Notamacropus eugenii: one gene and its partners. The protein of the gene in region 2 interacts with the protein of the main gene of each other region in a pairwise test. Links are inferred from orthologs where the notes say so. Each region holds a gene or a part of one and is shown on either strand. Other genes may lie near its edges. The genes, in order: GIGYF1, GRB10 and RAF1.

Region 1 (7,814 bases), on a different chromosome or scaffold from region 2:
TGAACACCTTGGTGTTCCCAGGTTCTTGAAAGCAATACTAGCAAAGCACAAGCTCTGTCAGACTGTATGTATTGTGTGAGGGCAAGCCTGGCCCAGTGGCAGAGGTTCATCACCAAGTCACCCACAAGGTAATATCTTCTTTTGCAAATAATTAAGTCACAAAGTAGGTTAAAATCTGCATTGGTGGAGGAAGGACTGCAAACTAATAAGATTCTAGATCCTTGAAGTACTTTCTTCCCAATACTCCAAATTTAGCTCCAGTCATAAGTGATGGACAGAAAAATCTCACTCAGATCTCCAATATCCAAAGTAGCTATCTCTGCTTGGGTCTTCAAAATTCCCCCTATTTCAAAAAGACCTTTCTCCTATCTGGCTGAAAAGTTTCTCGTTTAGAAAAGGAGGCAGTCTATTTAGAGAGTAAGCATCTCTGGTCCCTATTTCTACTTCCTAAAACCACTAATATGTCATTCACATTTGCCAATGCTGAAGCGCTTTCACATCCTTTCATTTTATTTGAGCTCTTTTACTGATTCCTCCAAGTTGATGGGATCTGAATGAATTAAAAGTATTTATTAGTTGCTCACCACACACAAAACACTGTGCTAAGGGACAGTTGTTGCTCCATAAAACAAGGATTCCTGTCCCTAGATAGAGGCTGAGGAAGACTTTATATCAACTGCAACTCTTCTCATCATCCCTAATTCCTAGGAATACTTTAGTTTCCAAAATTTTAACTGTTGGATTGTTTTTCCTCACTTTACTTCCAAAGTCAGGCAAAGGTTCAATGCACCACTTAGAAGCCCTCCCCAATCCCTTCCTTCTCAGTTACTTACATTTTTATATTATTATTTCTAGGAACTCATTGGTACAAAAAATTCTAGTATACAGTCTGAGGAACAGTCACAGGGATATAATCCAAGAATTCAGTTTCCCTAAGGATTTCAAGTCCATCAATTCCCACACACTCTCAGATATGTCTCAGGTAGCCCAAACTCTTGATTCTCTAGAGTCTCCAATCATCACCAAGTACCCTGAAGACCTTGATTTCTCAGCTAAACAAGGCTCCTGTGTGACATGATTAAACCTAATCAAACACTACCAGAGCAAACCCTTCAAACATTCCTCAACCTATTCATACTTGCATAAATCAAGACAGGTGGCTTATTCTGAAAGAGAAACAAGAGCTGGGGTATTACATCTAGTGGTAAATCAGTTAAAGGGTAACACTGGGAGAGTAACTATGTTCACAAAATCATATGAACCTTAGAAATAATCTTTTTGTACTTTCATGATACAGATGACAAAACAGAGGTCCAGAGATAGTAAGTGACTTACCTAAGGTAACACAAATAGAAAGTAGCACAGCTAAGATTCACTTATACTATACCAAGTTTTTACTGTTTATCTAAAAAGATCTAATGCCTCTAGCAGATGAATGCACAGGAGTATAGACATAAAGTTGCAAGGGATGATGAGGTTGAGATGATCTTTAAGTTAGGCTCTCTTTATGAGGGGTAAATTAAAAGCGATTTAGGAGGGGATTCTTTTGACAGAAATTCAAACAATTTACTGAGATAGTCTCTATAAAGATGGTCTTGCTCGGTAAATCTTTATGTGCTATCTAAATGTGTCCTATGAAAGCAGAATCCTGGGATTTTTGAGAGCTCTGCAGAAAGGTTGAAGTTCTGGAAAGAATGGAGTTCATAAGGGTGTCTGTTCTGTTTGTCACTGCCAGACAAGAAAATTTAGAGGAAAAACCAGACACTATAAAGGCAGCAGCATGGTCTAGTGGACCGAGCAGGGGGCTTGGAATCAGTGCCACGCAGGTCAGACCCCACGAACATTAAGGTCCCTCCAGCTCTAAATCTAGGATCTTATGACCCAGGAGGAGAAAAGTGAGGGATCTTGACTGTGTGTGGAGATGTATTTCATTGCCAAAACAGAACCACTGTGGAAATATCAGGATATTGTGGTGGGGAGTTCAGAAGAGCTTCAATCATGGGGAAGTCTCACAATGTCAAAGCTGGGATTGGGATGACTACAGTCCAACCCCCTTATTTGACTGGAGAAGAAACAGGGGTACAATGGAAAGGGGGGGTTATTCTTAAACAAGAGCGGTGGGGAGAGGGGGAGAGATCGGTGTAGCGCACTGCACGCCCTCCCAGGAGATTCGGGGACCCTTCCCCAATGGGCCCAGACTGTGGTGCGGGGGCTCCCCGCTCCAGTGGCCACGCAAAGCCGGGGCTGGGGTGGGGTGAGCGGAGGGCAGCCCCGATGGGGCAGGGTCTCCAGGGGAGGCCGGGATGCTGCGGGTGCCCCGCGCGGTTGGGCGTTCAGCCGGAGATGCAGGAGGGGCCTGGCCCGCCCAGTCCCGCCCTCAGGGGAAGAGGGGTTGGCCCTAGCGGGGAGGGGGAGCGAGCCTCGCTCTGGCCTGCCGCCCCTCCGGCCTCCGGGGTCCCGAGAGAGGCTGCCGGGGTCGGGGGAGGGCCGGGGGTGGGGACGCCGGCCCGTAGGCCCCAGGCGCCCCCCGGCCGAGCCGGGCCGGGCTGGATGGGGCGGACGCGCTCCTTACCGCTGGTGGGCGGGCGGGCGATCCCGGGCAGGCTGCGCCAGGCTCGGGCTCCAGTTCCGGGGCGTTGGTGGCGCGAGGCTAGGGCGCGCGGCAGACTGGCCGGCGAGGGGGGAGGGGAGGGAGGCGAAGGGGGGGCGGCGCGCGCTGGCGCTCCCGCTGCAGCCGCTCCTCAGTGTTTGTGTTTGTAGCAAGATGGCTGCCCGCCTTGCGCCACGTGACGAGGGAACGCTCCGCGCCCAACCCCCCTGCCCCCCGCAACAACTACCCCCGCCCCCCCGCCTCGGGCCCCGCTCCACACATACAGAGCCGCGCGGGCGGGCAGACACACGCACACGGCACACACTCACACACCTTCGCAAGGGGGCTCTCGTAGGCGCGCGGAGCAGCACCTACCGAGTGGCACGTGATCGGGGAGCCCAGCCTGGCGCGTCACGTGACCCGGAGCCAGTTGGGATGGCTTGTTTGGTTGTTTTATACCGCCCTCCCCTCCTCCCCTCCTACTACTCCCCCAATTAAGTGCGCCAGCTCCCCCGGCACCTGACAGGCGGCCCGCCCTGCAGCTCCGAATGGACGGACGGACGGACGGACTGGCGGACGTACGTCAGGGCGCCTCATGGCGTCATCGAACCTCGAACATTAGCAGTCCAGCCGCATCTCTCCTCCCGGGGGTCCGGTGTGGCCGGGCGACCCACGAGGCAGCTGGACGAGGATCGCTTGCAGTCAGACACACAAAAGGGCAGGGAAACCCCAGGCCCTGCCGGGGCACCCACGGCCCGAGGCAGCGTGGGACGGGCAATCGGGAGTGCGCCCCTCCCCGGCTTATTATTGTGAGGCCCGCATGAGATCATGCATGTGAAAGGCACTTTTAACACTGACCACAGTAACGCATCTGTGTAGCGCTTCAGGCTGCGGGAAGCGCTTTAGAAGTATCTTATTTGATACAACCACCATGGGAGGTAGGTTCTGCTACCATCCCCGTTGTAGAGGGGGAAATTGGCAGCTGCAGGTTAGTGACTTGTCCAGGGTCACATAGCTAAGTAAGTGGCTGCGTCTGGATTTGAGCTCGGGTCTTCGGACTCCAGGGCTGTCCCTCCGTCCACTTGGACACTTAGCTGCCCCTCTGCCATCTCTTGGGTCTGTGGCTTGTTTGCACATCCTGTTTCTGCAAGTTGTTTCCCGGTCAGACTAGAAGATTCTTGAGACCAGGAACTGTCTCCCCTTTCTTTGTATCGTTAGCCTGGTAATTGACGCGTAGCAGGTGTTTAAATGCTAGTTGATTACCTCAAGAACATTCATGTCAATTTCATGAGCATCAGCCCTTTGTTGTATTGCAATGGGGCCTTTTTCACAGTCTACTGAATTAAAGTATTCATTCTATCAGTCAACAAGTATTAAGGACTTACTAATATGTCAGGTGCTGTGCCAAGCACCGGGGGACAAAGGAAAAAACATGGCTGCCCTCAAGGAGTTCACTTAATTCATTAGAATTAATGGGGAAAACAACATTAAAACAATTGTACATACAATATATATGATGTAAATGGAAATTATTTCAGAAGGAAGGCACTAATGGGGTGGGGCTAAGTGAAGTAAAGATCTGGAAGGGCCTCCTGCAGAAGGTAGAATTTGAGCTGAGACTTGAAGGAAGCCTGAGAAGTCAGGAGGTGGACATGAGGAAGAACATTTCAGGTACTAGGGCCAACCAGTGAAAAGTCACAGAATTAGGAGATGCAGTGTCCTGTGGGAGAAACAGCAAGAAGGCCAGTGGTGATGGATCATAGGGTTCATGGAAGGATTGGTGGGTTGTCCTTCATTATCAAAGAGTACCAAAATGACATCACTAGAGTCAAGTTACAGTATGTCTGACTGTGGCTGATCAGACCAATATGAGATCAGAATGCTCTACCGCAGTTTGGGCAGAAATAGTCCATGTGAACATTTGGGGTCGATTCTCTAAACTTGCACATTTCACATTTCTTTTGAACTACTTGAATTCTGTTCTGCTCATAGAGCACAGAACCTTTTCTGATGAGGGCACACCATGCTGGGTAGTCTTTTGCTAGTGTCTCCCGTGTCACACAATCAATTTCAGAGTTCTTAAGAGAGACCTTGAAAGTGTACTTGTATCACTTTTTCTGACCACGATGTCAATGCAATGTGTATTCTACATAAAATAGTCTTTTTGGTAAACATACATTTGACATTTAAACAGTGTGGCCAGCCCATTGAACTTGTGATCTCTGTTTGAATGCTTGACAGTTTAGTTCAAAAAAGGACCTCAGTGTCTGGTACCTTATCCTGCTAGGTGATCTTCAGAATCTTCCTAAGACAATTCCAATGGAAGTGATTCAGTTTTCTGGCATAGTGCTGGTAGACTTTCCAGGTTTCATAGGCACTTAACAATGAGTTCAGCACAATGGCTCTGTAGACCTTCAGTTTGGTAATCAGTCTAATATCTCTTATCTCCCACACTTTCCATTGGTATGGTTTGAGTGATGTCTTTTGATTAAGGTGTAAATTGGATTTAAGTGAGGCAGAGTTGCATGAAGTCATCAGCCTCACTGTCTCTTCCAGAGTCTTCACACTCCAGGACAGAGTCAAGATGACTGGTGATGGCTTGAGATACATTGGATGACCTTGCCGTCTTCAATGTCTAACTAGTCTCCAAGTGTTCCACAGCACCTACTTCAACTGCCTTCATGGCCATTGGAAAAAATTGTTTTCATCTGCCCATTCCACCAAGGGGAAGTCTTCACATGCTTAGGGTAGACATTACCCCCACACCCACCCTCGACTTCTCAGTTCCCCTCAGCCTGGTTCAGTCTATCTGCCGAAACAGTTTAACAGGGTGTGGCCAATGTACTGCAGCTTTGTGGAGCCACAGGTGAGAGTTAGGTGAATCAGGTGGACACTAGAGGAAGAAAGCAGCCCTGAAAGCAGCCTTTTTTTTTAACTAGGGGGCTGTCATAGACTTAGGCTGGAGGAAAATCACCTTGGCTTCTGAGTGAAGACATAAAGCAAAGATAACAACCAGAAGGCTATTGCAATAGTCCATGTGAAAAAGGATGAAGGCTAACACCAGGATGGTGACTATGACTTGAGAGGAAAGATATAGGAGAGATTTTGTGAAGGTAGTAGAGACAAGACTTGGCAACAGATTGTATATGTGGGGAGTGAGGATGTCACTAAGGAGTTTACAGTGAATAAGGAGTTGAGGATGATACCAGGCTTGGATAGTTATGAGAATAGTGACTGTTTTCTACAGTAACAGGAAAGATATGAGGAAAGGAGGGTTTGGGTGTGAGTGGTAGGGGAGATGATATAATGAGTTCTGTTTTGGACAGTAATGTTTGGGATGCTTAAGGGCTATCCAGCTGAGAGACTCAAGAAGGAGTTGATGATGACCTTAGTGGAGAGATTAGGGTTAGATCTGGGGATCATCGGCATAGAAATGATAGTTGAACCCATGGGACTTGATGAGAAAACCAAACAAGATCTTCTAGAGGGAGAAAATACGAGGGCCCAGAATATTGCTTTAAGGGACCTTCATTGTTAGTGGGCATGACCTGAATGTGGATATGACTAGAATGAAGATCCAGCAAAAAGAGACTAAGAACTGTCAGACAAATCAGACAGGTAGAGGAGATCCAGGAGAGAATTGAGTCTTCCAACATTCATTTATTCAATATATTTGTAGTGGGGGACTCGCCAAACGTTGACTTTGGCGTCCATTCTTTTAAAAATTTATTAATTAATTTATTAAAAATTCTTTTAAAAATTAATTTATCTTCATTTAAATACCAAAAAGTAGAGCAGAAAAAGAACATGGCATATGAAGCCTCAAATCTTTATTATGAAAAGATTAGAACACTTAGCACTGTGCCTGGTACATAGTAGGTGCTTAATAAATGTTTATTGATTGATTGATACATAATTTGCATTTTCCTTTTAAGTATATAATAAATTCAACAAATTTGCAAAAATGTGTTGTTTCTGTTTCCTTCTGGCCTTTTCTAGGTTTCTTTTTATTCTGAACATAACACCAAATAAAATGGGCATTTTCATTTTCTACGTAGGAGAATAGCAAAAGAGGACTGTAAATGAAACTTCAGATTTCTGTTATGTACATTTAATCAGGATCTGGCACATGCCTAGAATGCCTTAGATGGTATGTGGAAGAATCTAAGGAGAAGGTGGTATCTCATCAAGATACTAGGGAACTGCTTCTGAGAGATCTGTGATGATGCGTAAGAGACTGTCTTGGAGAGACAGACTGTGGAATATGTGTAGACATTCTGTAACTGCTGGTTGGCTAACCGCATGTTGAAAAGGAGGTTCTTTGATTTGCTGAGGAGGCAAAGACATGTCAGCTTCAGTTATTGTCTCGTTTCCTCAGCACTTTTTGGGGAGCTTGGCAACAAATGAAGGAGTGGATCCTTATGACTTTGTGAATTTTAAAGGGTTCCTCGATGATTTGGTTATTCCAGAGTTCAGATTCACAGCTACAGCAAAATATGTCTCCAAGTATAAACCAATAGACTCTCCACATTCTGGAGTTAGAAATTCAAGTTTACAACCACAGTAATATTATGCTGATGAAGAATAAGGAGGGACCTTCAGGATTCCAAACTGGTGGTAGCAAAGACAAGGTCTCATCTGGCACCTCTGGACCTGAGTTTGGTGGGACTGATATTATGTGGGAATTGAATTAAACTTTGAATTTATTACCCCAGAAACTGAAGTAGTATGAAGGAGTATGTTTGTCAATTTGCTCTTGCTTTATATCTGAAATAAATATTTTTTAAAAGCTAATCTGATGTTAAGTGCTTCAGTGGAACTGAGTGTACTATTCACCGGCCCCTTAAATAAATGGGGAGAATATAGAAGGTGGGGTTCAAGCCAATGACAATAGAAAACAATAGCTCGACTGAGTAGCAACCTAGCCCTTAGAGAGAGATGCCAGAGCTACATACAGCTTATTTTTCTTCTTAAATATACAATAAATCTGATATATGAGCTTTAACACTTTTGCTTGTTTTTATTTCTAGATTTTGTCATTCTTTTCTGTGTATTAAAAATGTTTCAATGACCTTATTTCCTTCCTTCCTTTCCATTCTTTTCTTTTTTATGGATAACCTATTCCTGTTTTCCTTGCTCTCTCCCTCCTCTCCCTACACACTAGGAAAAAAACCCCAAAAGACCTTGTCGTAAATATATACACATTCCTACACCATGACTGAAA
Region 2 (7,139 bases):
AAATATTTCCCAATTATATTTTAACTGGTTCTATCCCCAATCCCCTCAGTTGTACAGCAGCTGCCTCTAGGTCCCCAGTGTTATACCCTTAATCTTGTCCACCTTGCCCCCTACCCAGGTCTAACCCCTCCCCCCCCATTCTACAGATGAGGAAAAGGATGTTCAAAGAAATAATCTGATTCTTCCAGTCACATAGCTAGTTAGTGCCAAAGCTAGCATTTCAGCTCAATCTCTGGTTTAGTCTTTCTGCCTAGTTTTATCAGGGCAGCTAAGTGATACAACTGGGCCTAGACTCAGGAAGACCTGAGTTTAAATTTGGTCTCAAAACTTACTAGCTGTGTAACCCTGGGCAATTCACTTAAGCCTGTTTGCCTCAATTTCATCTGTAAAATGAGCTAGAGAAAGAAATAACAAACCACTCCAATATCTTTGCCAAGAAAACCCTAAATGGTGTCACAAAGAATTGGACATGACTGGACAGCCAGTTTTATCCCTTTGTCTTCAAGCTACAGATCTCAGCGTTGCTATGAGGACAGGGCTTTGCAAACCTGAATGCCCTCTATACATCTGAACTGCTGTCATCCAAAGGTGTCTTCCCATGGTCATTACGATTCCCTCCCAAGGCTTGCAACTGGGATGTACTGCACAGTACATTGAATTGTTAAGACAGAAGCATTCAGGGATCTGGTTCCAAGGCCTTAACTTCCCATCCAAGGGCATTTCTATTCATGTCAGAGTTATGTGTGAGTGTGGAAAGGAAGTTTGTTTTACCATCTGCCAGTGTTAAGGGAGTGTTAGTCTAGCTAACTTCCAACAGCAGTGAGAGGAAACCAAAGGCAGTCTAAGTATATGCAAGCCAACAAATACGCAGTTTAGCTTTACAGCCTGTCCCCAACTTGTGAGCGCTTAACTTAGAAAGAAGCCAATACATGCACAGGCAGTACCAGCGTCAAGTCAATAGTCCAAGGAGAATCTAAGTCAGTCTCTACCTTTCTCTCCCCACCAATTTAAAACACCTTGGTGTATTGTTGACCTAGAGAGGAACTTTTTCTTGCAGAGGTATAAATTCATAATATTATTGTAAGGGTGTGGTCGAAACCACTCCATTTCGGTTCTGGTGCCTTGACTAGGTGAGCATACTTTCTGATCAATACAAATGAAACCCAATGTGAACAGAACCTGTACAATGCCTTTATGTGAAAGGCAATTTGTGTAAAAGCAAGAAACTATCTTAGAACCTGGGGAAGGGATTCTGGGTATCTGGATTCAAGAAGTTGAATCAGGCCATAGTATTTTCTTTGAAGAGGGAAGAGAGGACTGAGCTGTGGCAGAGAATATGGAGGAGAGTCACTAGTGAGAGAAATACCCAGAAAAGGCCAGCACCTTCCCTTCCTGTCTATCCACAGACACTACAATAAAATCTGCTGTTTCATTACCTAAAGGTTCCCTGTAAACTGAATTTTGATTCCACCACAAAGAGGCCTGGAGTTAACTAGAGACAAATATAAATATAAGATCGGGCAGAGATCCCAACTTCTGAATAGGTGTTAGGAATTTTGCTAACTGGGAACTCAGAACAACTTCGACTTAACCCAGAACTTTGTTTAAAAAAAAAATCCAAAACAAACTTCATAAAGTGGAAGAGGAAGGAACCAAGTGGACCTTAGGGTCCCTGATTTAAAAAGAGCTAATTATTGAAATAGAGGTGTTAAAATATTTTAAAACTGTAATGGTCCAAACCTCCCTTTTTACAGGCTTTCATGGGGCAAATGCTCTGTGATGGAGCTACAAAGAATAAAAATGAGAAGTCCCCACCCATAAGTAATTTATGTTCAACTGGAAAGTGAGACCTAGAATAAGTAAGTGGCAGCCTTGGTAGCTAAGCAGAGCTTAGAGGAGTGGTAGATTTGGAATTAATTAGATCTGTAGCATAGGTCCTTTTGCCAGTCTGGTGAGATCCCTTCTCAGAATGTTGGTGTTTGGAATTTATAATTGAAGAAAATGTTCCCTTTTTGAGTAGAGATTAGTAAAAATAAAGATGTAGTTCGTTTTTTTTCCATCCTAGTTCATGGACCTCCTGAAAGCTATCCCAGGTTAAGTATCCCTGGTCTTTTAGAGTTCCTTCCATTTTTTAAAAGCTGTGTCCCTATGTTCCTAAGGAATTTGCCAGAGGAAAGACAGAGCTGTGAACTTTTTCCAGCCTTTTCTCATACCAGACATTGCCCTCCCTTGCGTACAGCTTAACTAACTGGAGCTATGTATAGCCCCTCACTCAGATACAAACTGGATTAAATGGGCTTTTTATAGATTCACCTGGGATCCTAACCAGTGTATATAATCTTGCTTTTATGGGAAGATAGTTCCAATTAATCGATTTACCAAGTTTTGGAAAACAGTTTGTTAACTAGGGACAACTCATCTTTTACCTCGGTGCTCACGTGCTCCGGCCCTGCCTCTCTCTGGCTTGCAAACAAGGGAGCTGCTTCTCTCTCCAAATTTGGGTTTTTGGGAGAAAAGAGATGGTAGAAAAACTTTGTTATGTTTTAGCCTTTCAACAGCTGCCTCTTTCTGGGCCTGATCTGTGACTCTTGCTAGGTTCCTAGTCTTGAAGAAAGTGCCCAACAGGCCTTCTGGTCCCTCCTCATCTCCATCCAGACACCCCTGGGGCTCCAGATAGCAGCCGTGGCTGGTGGGGACCCAGCGTGGTGGGAGCCTGGTCACTGCAGCAGCAGCAGGCACAGCAGCAAGCGCAGCAGCAGCAGGCGCAGCAGCAGGCGCAGCAGCAGCAGCAGGCGCAGCAGCAGCAGCAGGAGCAGCAGCAGGAGCAGAAGCAGCAGCAGCAGGCGCAGCAGCAGCAGGTGCAGCAGCAGCAGCAGGCGCAGCAGCAGCACGAGCAGCAGCAGCAGGCGCAGCAGCAGCAGGAGCAGCAGGAGCAGCAGCAGGAGCAGAAGCAGCAGCAGGCGCAGCAGCAGCAGGCGCAGCAGCAGCAGCAGGCGCAGCAGCAGCACGAGCAGCAGCAGGCGCAGCAGCAGCACGAGCAGCAGCAGCAGGAGCAGCAGCAGGTGCAGCAGCAGCAGGCGCAGCAGCAGCAGGAGCAGCAGCAGCAGGCGCAGCAGCAGGCGCAGCAGCAGCAGGCGCAGCAGCAGCAGGCGCAGCAGCAGCAGCAGGCGCAGCAGCAGCACGAGCAGCAGCAGCAGGAGCAGCAGCAGGTGCAGCAGCAGCAGGCGCAGCAGCAGCAGGCGCAGCAGCAGGAGCAGAAGCAGCAGGAGCAGCAGCAGCAGCAGGCGCAGCAGCAGCAGGCGCAGCAGCAGCAGGCGCAGCAGCAGGAGCAGAAGCAGCAGGAGCAGCAGCAGCAGCAGGCGCAGCAGCAGCAGCAGCAGCAGGCGCAGCAGCAGGCGCAGCAGCACGAGCAGCAGCAGCAGCACAAGCAGCAGCAGCAGCAGCAGCGGCAGCAGTAGGAGCAGCAGCACGAGCAGCAGCAGCAGCACAAGCAGCAGCAGCAGCAGCAGCAGCAGGCGCAGCAGCACGAGCAGCAGCAGCAGCACAAGCAGCAGCAGCAGCGGCAGCAGTAGGAGCAGTAACCAGAGGAGGCGGAGGAGAAGGAGTTGGAAAAGGAGGAGAGGTAGGAGGGACCGGGAGGAGGGGGCGGAGGAGAAGAAGGCGGGGCCGGCCGGGTTTAAAGCCCATTAAAGGGGGTGGGGGAAGTGAGGGAGCCCGGGAAGGGGGTGATAGATCTGGGGCTGGAGTCAGCTGAGCCTCTCGCTGTGAGAGCCGCGGATCCCGGTCCTCGGAGGAGGAGGAGGATCGCAGGCGGCAGCGGCGGCGGCGGCAGCAGCAGCAGCAGCAGCCGCCCGATCCCCAGGAGCTCCAGCGGCGGGAGGAGGAGAGAAAGAAAGGGAGAAGGAGAGAGGGAAGGGGAGGGGGAGACTCCGGCGGCGGCGATTGTGACGGCGAAGCCGCAGAAGTTTTCTTGAAAATCCTTGGGCGGCCGACTACGTGCACGGGCGTGCGAGTCTTCTGCGGACCGACTGGGCAACTACGGGAGTACCCGGTCCTGCTTTCCCACCCCACCCCCCTTCCCTCTGCCTTCTGCCTCGAATCCGTGCAGCTCGCCACCGACCCCCGCGCGAAAGCTCGGATCAGGGGGACCCCGGAGCCGGCTGTGAGCAGGGAGGGGGCCCGGGGCGGCCCCGAGGAGGAAGAGGAGGGAGGCAGCGGCGAACGGCACCGCCGGCAGCAGCAGGTAGGCATGCAGGCATGCAGGCAGGCATGCACGCCGGAGAGAGCAAGCCGGGGTTCCTAGCGGCTTCCGCCCGTCTGGGTACAACCTCCGTCCTCGACCTCGCCCCTCTCACCCAGCTTGCAGAAGTTTTTTTTGGGGGGGGGCCGAGGAGGAAGGTGGGGGAGGCGATTGCCAAGCGCCCCGAGGACCCCCAGGACCCGTCGGTCCTTTTCCTCCTCGGGTTGGGGAGCTGGTGTAGTCCCTGTGTGGAGGAGCGAACGCAGGGAAAGTTGTTTTCTGCAGCCCCTTCTGTCCCGGCCTGGCCCCGGGCCGAGTGCGGCCCGGAGCTGGCAGAAGCCGCCGGGGGAAGGCGGCCGCCCATCGCGCCTCCCGGAGGCTGGTCCGCGGAGCCAGCCCCCCAGCCCGACGGAGCTCGGGGCTGGGGCTGCTCCCGGAGCCGAGGGGAACCGGATCGGGGCTAGCTGCTCCGCAGCCCCGCCCGGCCCGGGGGCATGGCCCGCCGGCCTGCTAGCCTCCTGTCCGCGCCGCCCACCGCTCTCCTCCCGACCCCTTGGGGAGTGTGGAGCCTGCTCGCCTTCTTCTGCGGGCTGGTCACAAGTGAGGCACCCCTCCTCTCCCCAAGAAGGGGGGCGGGAAGAAAAAAGCATATACGGGCGGCATGGGGAGGGGTAGATTGGCCAGGCTGGGAGGCTATGGGAGCTATGGAGAGAGGAAGAGTGAGGGCGGCTGCCGCCGGGGTGTAATTGTTCTCTCCACACACACCCCCCCACCCCAGCCCCGAACTGTGATTCCGGTCCTTGGTCTACACTCCACTGGAAAGAGGAGGGGGCAAGGGGGGGGCATCTTTGCATCTGTATTTACTGTCTTGACTTGTCTATCTCTCACCGTTTGCTTATTATGTGTATTCCATCTCTGTGTCTATGTCTGCATGGGGGGAAGGGGAAGGGAAGGAGGTGACATTTTTGCATCTGTATTTGTTTTCCTGACCGCTGTGTATTCCGAACCCTGTGCGTGTGGATCACACACATGTATGTTTGGGGGGGAGATGGATGTGTGTGTGTGTGTGTGACCGCGCGCGTTAGTATTCGAGTTCTTGGAAAGAAGCTCAAGAAGTTGAGAACCCTCACTTGCCCCCCTTTCCCCTTCCCCTCCCCCTCCGTCTCCCCAGGCCAGCTTTTCAAGAAGTTTCATGGCACTCAGGGCCGGAGGAGGTAAGGTACAAAGATGCGGCTCGATGCCTGGTTTAACTGCCAGCCGTGGGAGCAGGCTTGGAGTGGGGCTGCTTTGGAGAAGGACATTTCTGATGCAATTCACTGCCTTTGGTAATTGCGTCTCCAAACCCCTGCCTCTCTCTCTCTCCCTCTCTCTCTCTCCTCTCTCTCTCTCTCTTTCTTCCCTCCCTCTCTCTCTCTCTCTCCCCCCTCTCTTTCTTTCTCTTTCTCTCTCTCTCTCTGTCTCTCTCTCTCTCTTTCTCCCCCCTTCCTCTCCCTCTTCCTCTCCCTTTCCCTCTCTCCCCCTCTCCCTCTCTCCCTCTCTCTCCCCTCACGGCCGCTGGAGCTCGCCGGCCACTATGCAAATGGCAACTAGATTTTGAGAGGGAGGACAGTGGCTCACCAAACTGTTTTTTTTAACAAACTTTGAGGAGCCACAAGTGACTTTTACACCATCGAGATGTGTTCGAAATCAAAGAATGTTGAACTTTAGCAATAAACAGTGAGCATTTTTCTCTACAATGTGTTTTTAAAGTCTTATTTTTATTACAAACCGAGTTCCAGACCTTATGTAAGAGGTACCCCCCCCAAGCAAAAAAAAAAGTCCAACTCTGGCAAAAGTATGTTTGCAAATCCACGTGTGTTATGGCCCCCACCTTCTCTTTATTGCTGTTTTAAAGCTGTCTGAAACTTCGGGCTTGAAAATGCTGATTCAGCAGTTGGGAGCACCGCTTTATGTCTGCTAGTGGTACTGTTTAAAATGTTTTGATTTGTTGTACTAGGAACATATGTTGTTAGTATGGCAACAAAACTCTGAGCCTGACATTGCCATGTAAGGGCTTTTTTTTTTCATCCTTCATTTGAGTAAAGTCACCCGCTCACCTTCCAAATGAGAAAAATAAGGGAGTTTTGCATCTGGTAAGAAGTAGTGGAAATTGTGGCCATTGAAACTGGTTTAAAAAAATTCTTCTTAAAGGGAAGTGCCTTTTTTTTTTTTTTAGTAGTTAAGAGTAAGCCTCTAAAAGCAAATTTAAATCTTTGCACCAGTGAGTCTAGAGGGCTAGGTTTTTTTTCCTGTTTAAAAAAAATAATAAAACTGGGGGCTTATTGAACTTATGTCCCAGTTGTACTTTGAGTACTTGAAAGAGAAGAGTAACCAGGCTAATCCCAGGATTAAAGGGGGTGAATTATAAGGACAGGTTGAGAGAGAGGGGGAGAAAAAAGCCCCCAGCAAACTAAAGATAGGAGGATGAGTAATACTGAATAGGGAAACAAAATCTCTCTGAAACGCCAAATTACAGAGAGTCAGAATATAGTGAGGCATGATGATATAACTAAATTATTTGGAAGTTGGAAGAAGGAGGCCACACAATTTTTAAAAAAATGAAGCCCAACCAGGAGACTTCATACTGATGCTCAAGCAGGCCTTGAGTATTTACAACCTATAGAAACCATATCCTGACTTGAACAAAGAAGTCTATTGTACTTTCCCCTTCATCTTAGACCTGTAAAATTCTTAGTTTGCATAACTGATAAAGTGTATTTGCTGATTTCAAAGTTGGCATAATTAAAGAACAACCCACTTCCTGTATATTCTGTCCAACTCTAGCTGCAGGGGGAGAAAGGGAGAGTGCTTGGGAGAATACATTTTAGTTTATTTTGGAGACTGTTTAAGTTGCCAGTGT
Region 3 (7,273 bases), about 19 Mb from region 2:
CAAGGACGTCTCAGTATGATAGAGGTGGGAGGAACCTTAGAGATCATGTAGTGCTGACCCTTTATTTCAGTAGATGAAGGAAATCAGAGCCAGAGAGCACAGGTGACAGATATAAGGTCATACAAGTTGCAGAGCCACACTTATAACCTTGGCTTTCAGTGGAAAGATGCAATTGCGGAGTCAGAGGACTTGGGTTCAAATCCTACCTCTGATCTTTGTGACTTTATACAAGTTACTTAACTTCCCTGGGCCTCAACGTACTAATCTATAAAAATGGGGTCAGTGTAGAGGATGAAAGAAATCATACAATGTGGTCTCTGATGTCCTTCCTAGGTCTACGCCCATAACCCTATATCTCTACCCTGCTGCCTCTTCTGGTCATCTTTCTTCCTAAAACAGAATCCATTGCTGTCATATGGTCCTCTCACTTATGAGTAAGTATTGTTTAACTTTCTTCACAAGTCTGATGATACAATCTTCTGTCCTCAATCCGCTTTATTCACAAAGCAATGCAGTTACACCTTAAACTTCACTACTATCTGGGACTGTGCTACCTCCCAAGATGCCAAACTCCAAAGCTATTCCTTAATTCCAATGCCATTTTTCTTACTTCTCTCTCATTCCTTCTCATTCCATCTGATTTCTGTCTTCACCCTGATTTCCAATCAGTTAATCATTCAATAAACAGAGTCCATCGCCAGTGTCACTTGCCAGTCCTGACCCCTTCTTTGCCAGTGACTTCAAAGATCTTGGTTTGCCCTTCTAATCCTCCCTGGGTCATTTCCACCATTCCGTTCTTCCCTCTGAACTTGACCCTGGGGGGCTGAATATGCACAGAGAAAGTCACCATATCAAACTTATTGGAAAATAGTTGAATTCATATGGTATATGAATGTGTGAGGACAGGGCATTTTTGTCTTTTATTCCACAGTAGCTGGCACACAATAAGCACTTAACTGATTGACTTGTTCTGTTTGACAACTGAGATAACAGTGAGAGCAAACAGCAGATTTAGGCTTGACCTAAGGAAAACTTTCCTAGCACACTGGAACTATCCAAGAGTTGAATGGCTTGTCTTGGAAGGTAGTGGGTCATCACTTGAGGTCTCTAAGGAAAAACACCCTTGTCAGGTGTTTGTATTTGAGTCATTTCAGTCATGTCCAACTCTTTGTGATCCCATGTGGAGTTTTTGTGGGAAAGATACTGGTTTGTCATTTCCTTTTCTAGCTCATTTTCCAAATGAGGAAACTGAGGCAAACAGGGTTAAGTGACTTGCCCAAGGTCACACCCATAGTAAGGGTCTAAGCCTAGATTTAAACTCAGATCTTCCTGACTCCAAGGCTAGCACCCTATCCACTGGACCACCTAGATGCCCCAAGTGTATTGGATCTTTCTTCAGGTGCTGGTAGGACAAGGTGATCTTTCCAAACATGAAATTTTCTGATCCTGGGCAGAGAACTGGATTTAAGGAAATAGTGTGGTGAGAAGAAAACAGGGCACGCAGATGAGGCATGGGAAAGGGATTTGCTGAAAAAACAGAATCCTATGTATTTTAAAATGGGAAATTAAAAGAAGCAGCACCATAAGGAGAGTTTGGAGGGAGGGGACAGACTGGCGCACCCAGTAAATAGATAAGGCCACACCTGGGGCAACAGACACCTACACACAACTGACCCCAATGTTTCCTATGGAGCTCTGCCTGGTTAAGCTGTGTTGTCTAATAATCTTTTAAGACTGGCAGCAGCCCCAGCCTCTATTCAGGTGGCAATTCTCCTGGAAACTTCAAAGTGCTTTGGGCAGGAAAGAAAAAACACAAAAACTGGGCGGGGATCAGTTTAAGGGGGGAAGAAGAATCCTTTAAACATCTGTGCCCACTGCTCTCCAAGAAAACAACTGAAGTTTATAAAGCCTTTAAGATTTACAAAGTTCTGTATATATCCTGAATTCAATAGAGATCTGAACCACAACTCTGTGAGGTAAGTAATACAGATATCATCCTCCTTAATTCATCAATCAGTAATTAGGATTGTGAATCTCAGAAAAGGGAAATAGGATGCATATAGCTAGTCTTGGTGGGAAGGGTCTGATCCTCAATCTCTAAGTGACACAGGGCTCTAAGATAACAGTCTTCTCATTCACTTTCAAGACACACCCTTGCCCTGAAGCCCCCCTTTACTACATTAGGCCAATTACAGCCTTAGTTTACAACAAACTAACGTTTGTCCAAGGCTAACTCCTAATTGTTGGGGATACAAAGACAGCTAAGTCACTGAACCTGCTCCTGAGGAGCTTACAACCAAATGTGGGTGTAAAGACAAAAATGACTGTAAGAGAGAATGACTAATTGCAAAAAAGAGGTCCAGGGAGTCTCATGATAAATTTAAGTAGGAAGAAATCACCTCCTCAGCATGGGGGGCAGGGAGTAAGGAAAAGGAAAAGATTAAGGGAAGTGCCAGAGATAAAGCTGCTGCTTCACATTTGTTTCTCCAAACTGTAAACTCCTTAAAGGCTTGGGAAAGACATAATTATTTAGTAGCATCTATATTTGCAAAGGATTTTGAACATATTTTTTCACTGAATCTTCACAACACTCTGAGGTGGGTGGTATTATTATCCCATCTTCTGGATGGGGAAACTGAGGTGTGGAGTAGTGAGATGAGCTGGCGATACAGGAGAAGAGCTCGGGTGCCCTTGAATTCAGGCCCAGTGTTCTCTCTACACACTAGGGTCCCTGGCTGCTTAAGGAGCCTCACAGACTTGGAGCCAGAAGCGGCCTCGGGGGCTACCTGGCCCGAGGTCTGCATTTCACAGGGAGGCAGGAGGTGTTTCAGAGTCCCACGGGCAGGGAGTCCCAAGGCTGAGAACTGAACCTAGGCCCTCTGACTTCAAAGGAGGCTTAAAAAAAGCACGGCCCTACAGTCCTGGTTCTTGGAGTCTTTCATAACGTCCAGGAACAAATTCTACGAGAAATACCAGAACAGACCGTCCTGGCAAGCTGGTCAGCCCAAGTCCGGCGGCCACGCGTGCGGCTGCACCCAGGCTGGCTGGCGGGGGGCACGTCCTGTATGCCAGGACAGGCGAACACTGGGGTCTTCGGCGTCAGAGGGTCTGGGTGCCAATCCCCTCGTGTCCTCTCCCCGGTAAAAGGCTGGGGGCCCTTCAGCTCTGCACGTGGCCCGAGGCCGCTGGGCGTCCCCAGGATGACCTTGGAGTCAGAAGACCCGAGTCCAAAGCCTGCCTCCGACACCGTCCCGTCCGCGCCAGGGCTGCGCACGCGCCGGCGATCACCACCGTCCGGGACTGCTGCCCTGCCGGAGAAGTCGGGGTAACAGCACCTCCCTTGCGGGAGCCGAGGTCCAACGGGGCGACCTACTAAGCGCTCTGCAAGCCTCGAAGGGTGGCGTAGACGCTGCCCGTCAGCATCCCGTCTGCCTCAGGGTGCTCCTCCGGGAAGTGAGCTTCGCTGCGAGGGGCAGAGGGGCCGTGCACAGAGCGGCATGGCTGCGGTCACCGCGGCGGTCACGCAGCTTTCCGCGTGGAGCTGTGCGGCCCCCCGGCCCTTCCCGGAGCCTCAGTTTCCCCAGCTGTAAAAAGGGCGCCGTCTACGGGGGAGGGAGCTCGCCTGGGACCCCCGCGGCGTCGTGGCCCGCAGCGGTCCATCCTCTCCGCGGGAGCTGCCGGCCTCGGCCCTCGGGGCGCCCCGGTCCCCGGTTCCCGGCCTCGGTCCCGGGGCTCGCCCGCTCGCCCGCCCGCTCGCCCGCCCGCTCGCTAGCAGTTCGAAATGGCGGCCGCAGGCGCGCCGAGGCCCCGCCTCCAGGGGCGGGGCCTGAGCCAGGGAAGAGGGAACGATACCGGAGCCGATGAATGGGCGCCTGGGCCGTGCCGGCGGCGGGGGCCGCGGTAGGTGGGGGCGGCGCGGGGGAGGCGCCGCAGGTTAGGCCGAGGAGCGCCGAGCCTCCTCGTCGCGGACGCTGAGGCCGCCATTTTAGATGGAGGCAGCGAGCCGCCGCCAGCAGTGAGGAAGCGAGCGCGAGCGGGCGCCGGAGCGAGAGCGCGAGCGTGGGCGCCGCGGCGGGCAGAGAGCGCCCCTCCACGGGCTCGGCCGGGCCGGGACGGCGGCGGCGGGCGGCCCGGGCCCTCGACTCTGCGGCGGCCGGCGGGCGGGCCCCTGCCCGGGGACGATGCGGGGGCCGCCCGGGGCCCCCTCCCCCGGGCTGGGGACGCGCCGCCGCTGATCGGGCCTGGGCGCTGGGCGCACTCGACGCGCCGCCGCTGCCGCCTCGGCCCGGGCCGCGGGCACGCACGGGACGGGGCGAGACGGGACGCACGCGGCGCGCACCGGCCCCGCAGGTAGGCTGCCGAGCCGGCTCAGCCCGGCAGGCGAGAGCGGGGCCTCCGGCCCGGCGCGGCTCCTCGCCTGAGGAGGCCGCGGCCCTTCCGGGGAACGCGGGCCAAGGGAGACGGGCACAGCCCGCCGAGCCTCGGCCGGGCAGCGCCGGAAAGGGCCCTGAGCCCTTCCCGTCACAGATGAGGAAACTGAGGCCGGGAGTGGGGGTGGTTCATAGATGTAGAGATGCCAGAAACCCTCCCCCCTTACGTCCCGATGAGGAAACGGAGGCCCTGGGATGGGGGCCATCGTAGATCTGGAGCGTAGAAGGGACCCCCGACGCCTCCTCCCTGTGGAGGCCGGGAAGGCGATCGGGGAAGTGACATCTGCGAGTCGGCAGACGCTGAGGCTCGGGGTGCGAGGCCAGCCTGGCAGCCCCGAGTTTTGGTAAACACTGAGGAAGGCTTCCCAGAGCGAAGTCGGTGTCAGGAGCAATGGGACCTTTGCGGTGCAGCTGGAGACGGGGAGAGACCCTGGGCTCCTGGCGGCGCCTCTCCCTTCAGCAGTCCTGTCCCCCCCTCTCTCCCCAGGGTTTTTTATTTGGGGGGGGGGCCGGGTGGGTGAAAATGGGGAGGAGGAGAAAATCCTGAGTTCTCCTTGTGTGCGTGTGGTCGGGCGAGTGGAATAGTTAAGAGAACCTGTGTTCTTTTGCGCTGAAGAGGATGCTTTTGCCTGGTGAAAATGGATCGAGGGCTTGGTAGTTTTTGGAGAAAGGAACTGGGGCTGACTTTGCTGAAAGTAAGTAAATTAATGCTATTCTAAAGCGAAGGCGGTGTTGTAAGAAACTCATTTGCAAAAGGCTTGGGAAACATTGGTCCTGGAGTGTGAGCTAAGCTTTGCGTTCTTCGTGAAGAGATTCTTTCTCCATTCCTTCTCGTTTATTTCATACATCACTTGGTCAGTTTCCTTTTGTGGACATAATGTTAGCAGGACACGGGCAGATTCTTGGGTGTATGACCAGCTGCATAGGGCAGTCCCGGCGTATGGTAAACATAGACTGGGGTCCTATGGAAATTAGTTTATTTTAGTGTTTGTCCCTTTAAATGAGAATTATCTTTTCTGTTTGAGAACCAGATTTCTTTTGTGCTCTCCATGCTGAAACTGGTAAACTTTTGAAATGGCGGTTTTTATCATAGCAAAACAATATTAGTTGTTTCTTCCTTGTTACTTGGTTACGTGGGATTTCAGGTTGTGTATTCTGTACTTAGGCAGTAATGAGTAATGTTCTCTTAGGCCTTGTTTTTTATAGGTTGCCTTAAAAACAAAAGGGTAGATTGTAAAATGTAGTTCAGACTAATTTTTAGTGTTCTAGTTGTGTATGTTAGTATATGTTGGAAACGGTTGGGCAGCATCTAAACATGCAAGATGAAATCTGAGGATTGTGGACGGTAGAGAACTTGGAAAAAGACAGTTAACTCCCCCACCTGGAAACACACACTTAACAACAATAACAGTACCCATGTTGTTTGCCCTTGGTTCACGAAGGACCATGACATCAGAAAGGTGATTCCATGACGTCTGAGTGAGTTATAGTGGCCGTATCCAAGGTTAAGTGTGCAATTGAATTTTTTCTTAACCTTGAAATGCATTCGTTTTCTAATTAAAATCATTTTTACACACAAAAGGTTTTCATATCCACAAGTTTGTTAGAACAGCACTAATGCTCTTGTATTGACTGTGGTGACAATGTTCCTTTATTACAGTAATTTCTAAGTCATACTGTTTTGGTATGTAATGCATATACAATTAAGTCAGAGGCTGATATTTAATATCTCTAATGCTAGTCGGGTTGTTTTGAAATGGAAACAATTGTTTCATTTGAAGGCTAATACTAGGGGAGAATAGACTTGTTACTGTTTTTGTTTAGAACTTGTCTAATTAGGTACACAGGGGTTTATCATTGTCAGTTAGTGGAGACATGTTTGTGTTTTCCAGGAGGGAACTATTTTATGTTTCACTACCTCGGAGCATTCTCTCAAATTAACATTTAAAATAGAAGATCTTTGCGAAATTCACCAAAAAAAAGTTTACTGGGTGTGGTTTAATATAACTCAGGGTTAGGAGGGACTGGGTCACTGGAGAACAACAATATTTGGGTTCATAATTGAAACCTCAGACTCATATCAGAAGTTGATTGCTTTTGTAGTTTAAAACAAAGTATGAAATCTGGAGTATTAAATATTAGGGTAAATATAAAGATTGAATTTTCACTCCTAAGTTGTTTTCCTTGAAGCTTCTTTGAATCTGAAAGCTTTCTGGAGTTATGTTTCTTGAAGGCAAAATTTTGTTAATCTTTATCCCCTGTAACTCTCAACTCAGTATCTGTGTTCTAGTGAAATAATTCAATTTGGTTTAATTTTACTCTTTATGAAATAGAATCATAGATTGTTTAAATTTTTTAAAAAGCTCTATTCTATGCAGTTAATATTACAAGCTGTTTCTGCAGAAATTAAGAAATTAAGCAGAATAATTTTTATGTGTGATTAAGTTTTATGTGTGATTTGCAATTATATGGCCTCATAGTATTTTACTTTGGTAATGTATCATTTAATGGCAGAAAAACTGCTTGAGGTGGATTTCATTTAACAGTATTATAGACACCTTGGGAGTAGGTCTTTAGCTAAACATCATTGTATACCTTAGTGCGGACTTAAATTTCTTATCCTAATGATTGTTATTGAAAGATGGTAGATTAATTTGTCAGTCATTGGAAGTGTGGAAAGGGTATAACTGAGAAGCTTAAACATTAAAATGTTTTAAATAGACTTACAAAAGTTCTGTTCATAGGAGTGAAAATCTTCAAAGCAAAAGTCTTCAGATTTAAAAACTGAATTGCTCCAGTGCATTTGGAAGGATGGGGTTTGAGCCTACACTGCCCAAGGTGGT

The links.
Region 1: the proteins of GRB10 (region 2) and GIGYF1 interact in a two-hybrid assay, tested with the Homo sapiens proteins (2 studies listed by BioGRID). The link is inferred for Notamacropus eugenii from reciprocal best matches to the Homo sapiens genes GRB10 and GIGYF1.
Region 3: the proteins of GRB10 (region 2) and RAF1 interact in a two-hybrid assay, tested with the Homo sapiens proteins (2 studies listed by BioGRID). The link is inferred for Notamacropus eugenii from reciprocal best matches to the Homo sapiens genes GRB10 and RAF1.

The regions. Positions count from the first base shown.
Region 1 is NC_092873.1:80,103,096-80,110,909, reverse strand, and holds the start of GIGYF1 (GRB10-interacting GYF protein 1), read right to left. Parts: upstream 3,034-7,814; 5' UTR 2,966-3,033; intron 2,831-2,965; exon of another isoform or gene 2,573-2,830; intron 1-2,572. UniProt on the Homo sapiens protein: May act cooperatively with GRB10 to regulate tyrosine kinase receptor signaling. May increase IGF1 receptor phosphorylation under IGF1 stimulation as well as phosphorylation of IRS1 and SHC1.
Region 2 is NC_092874.1:413,605,394-413,612,532, reverse strand, and holds the start of GRB10 (growth factor receptor-bound protein 10), read left to right. Parts: upstream 1-4,108; 5' UTR 4,109-4,243; intron 4,244-7,139.
Region 3 is NC_092874.1:432,306,319-432,313,591, forward strand, and holds the start of RAF1 (RAF proto-oncogene serine/threonine-protein kinase), read left to right. Parts: upstream 1-4,221; 5' UTR 4,222-4,350; intron 4,351-7,273. UniProt on the Homo sapiens protein: Serine/threonine-protein kinase that acts as a regulatory link between the membrane-associated Ras GTPases and the MAPK/ERK cascade, and this critical regulatory link functions as a switch determining cell fate decisions including proliferation, differentiation, apoptosis, survival and oncogenic transformation.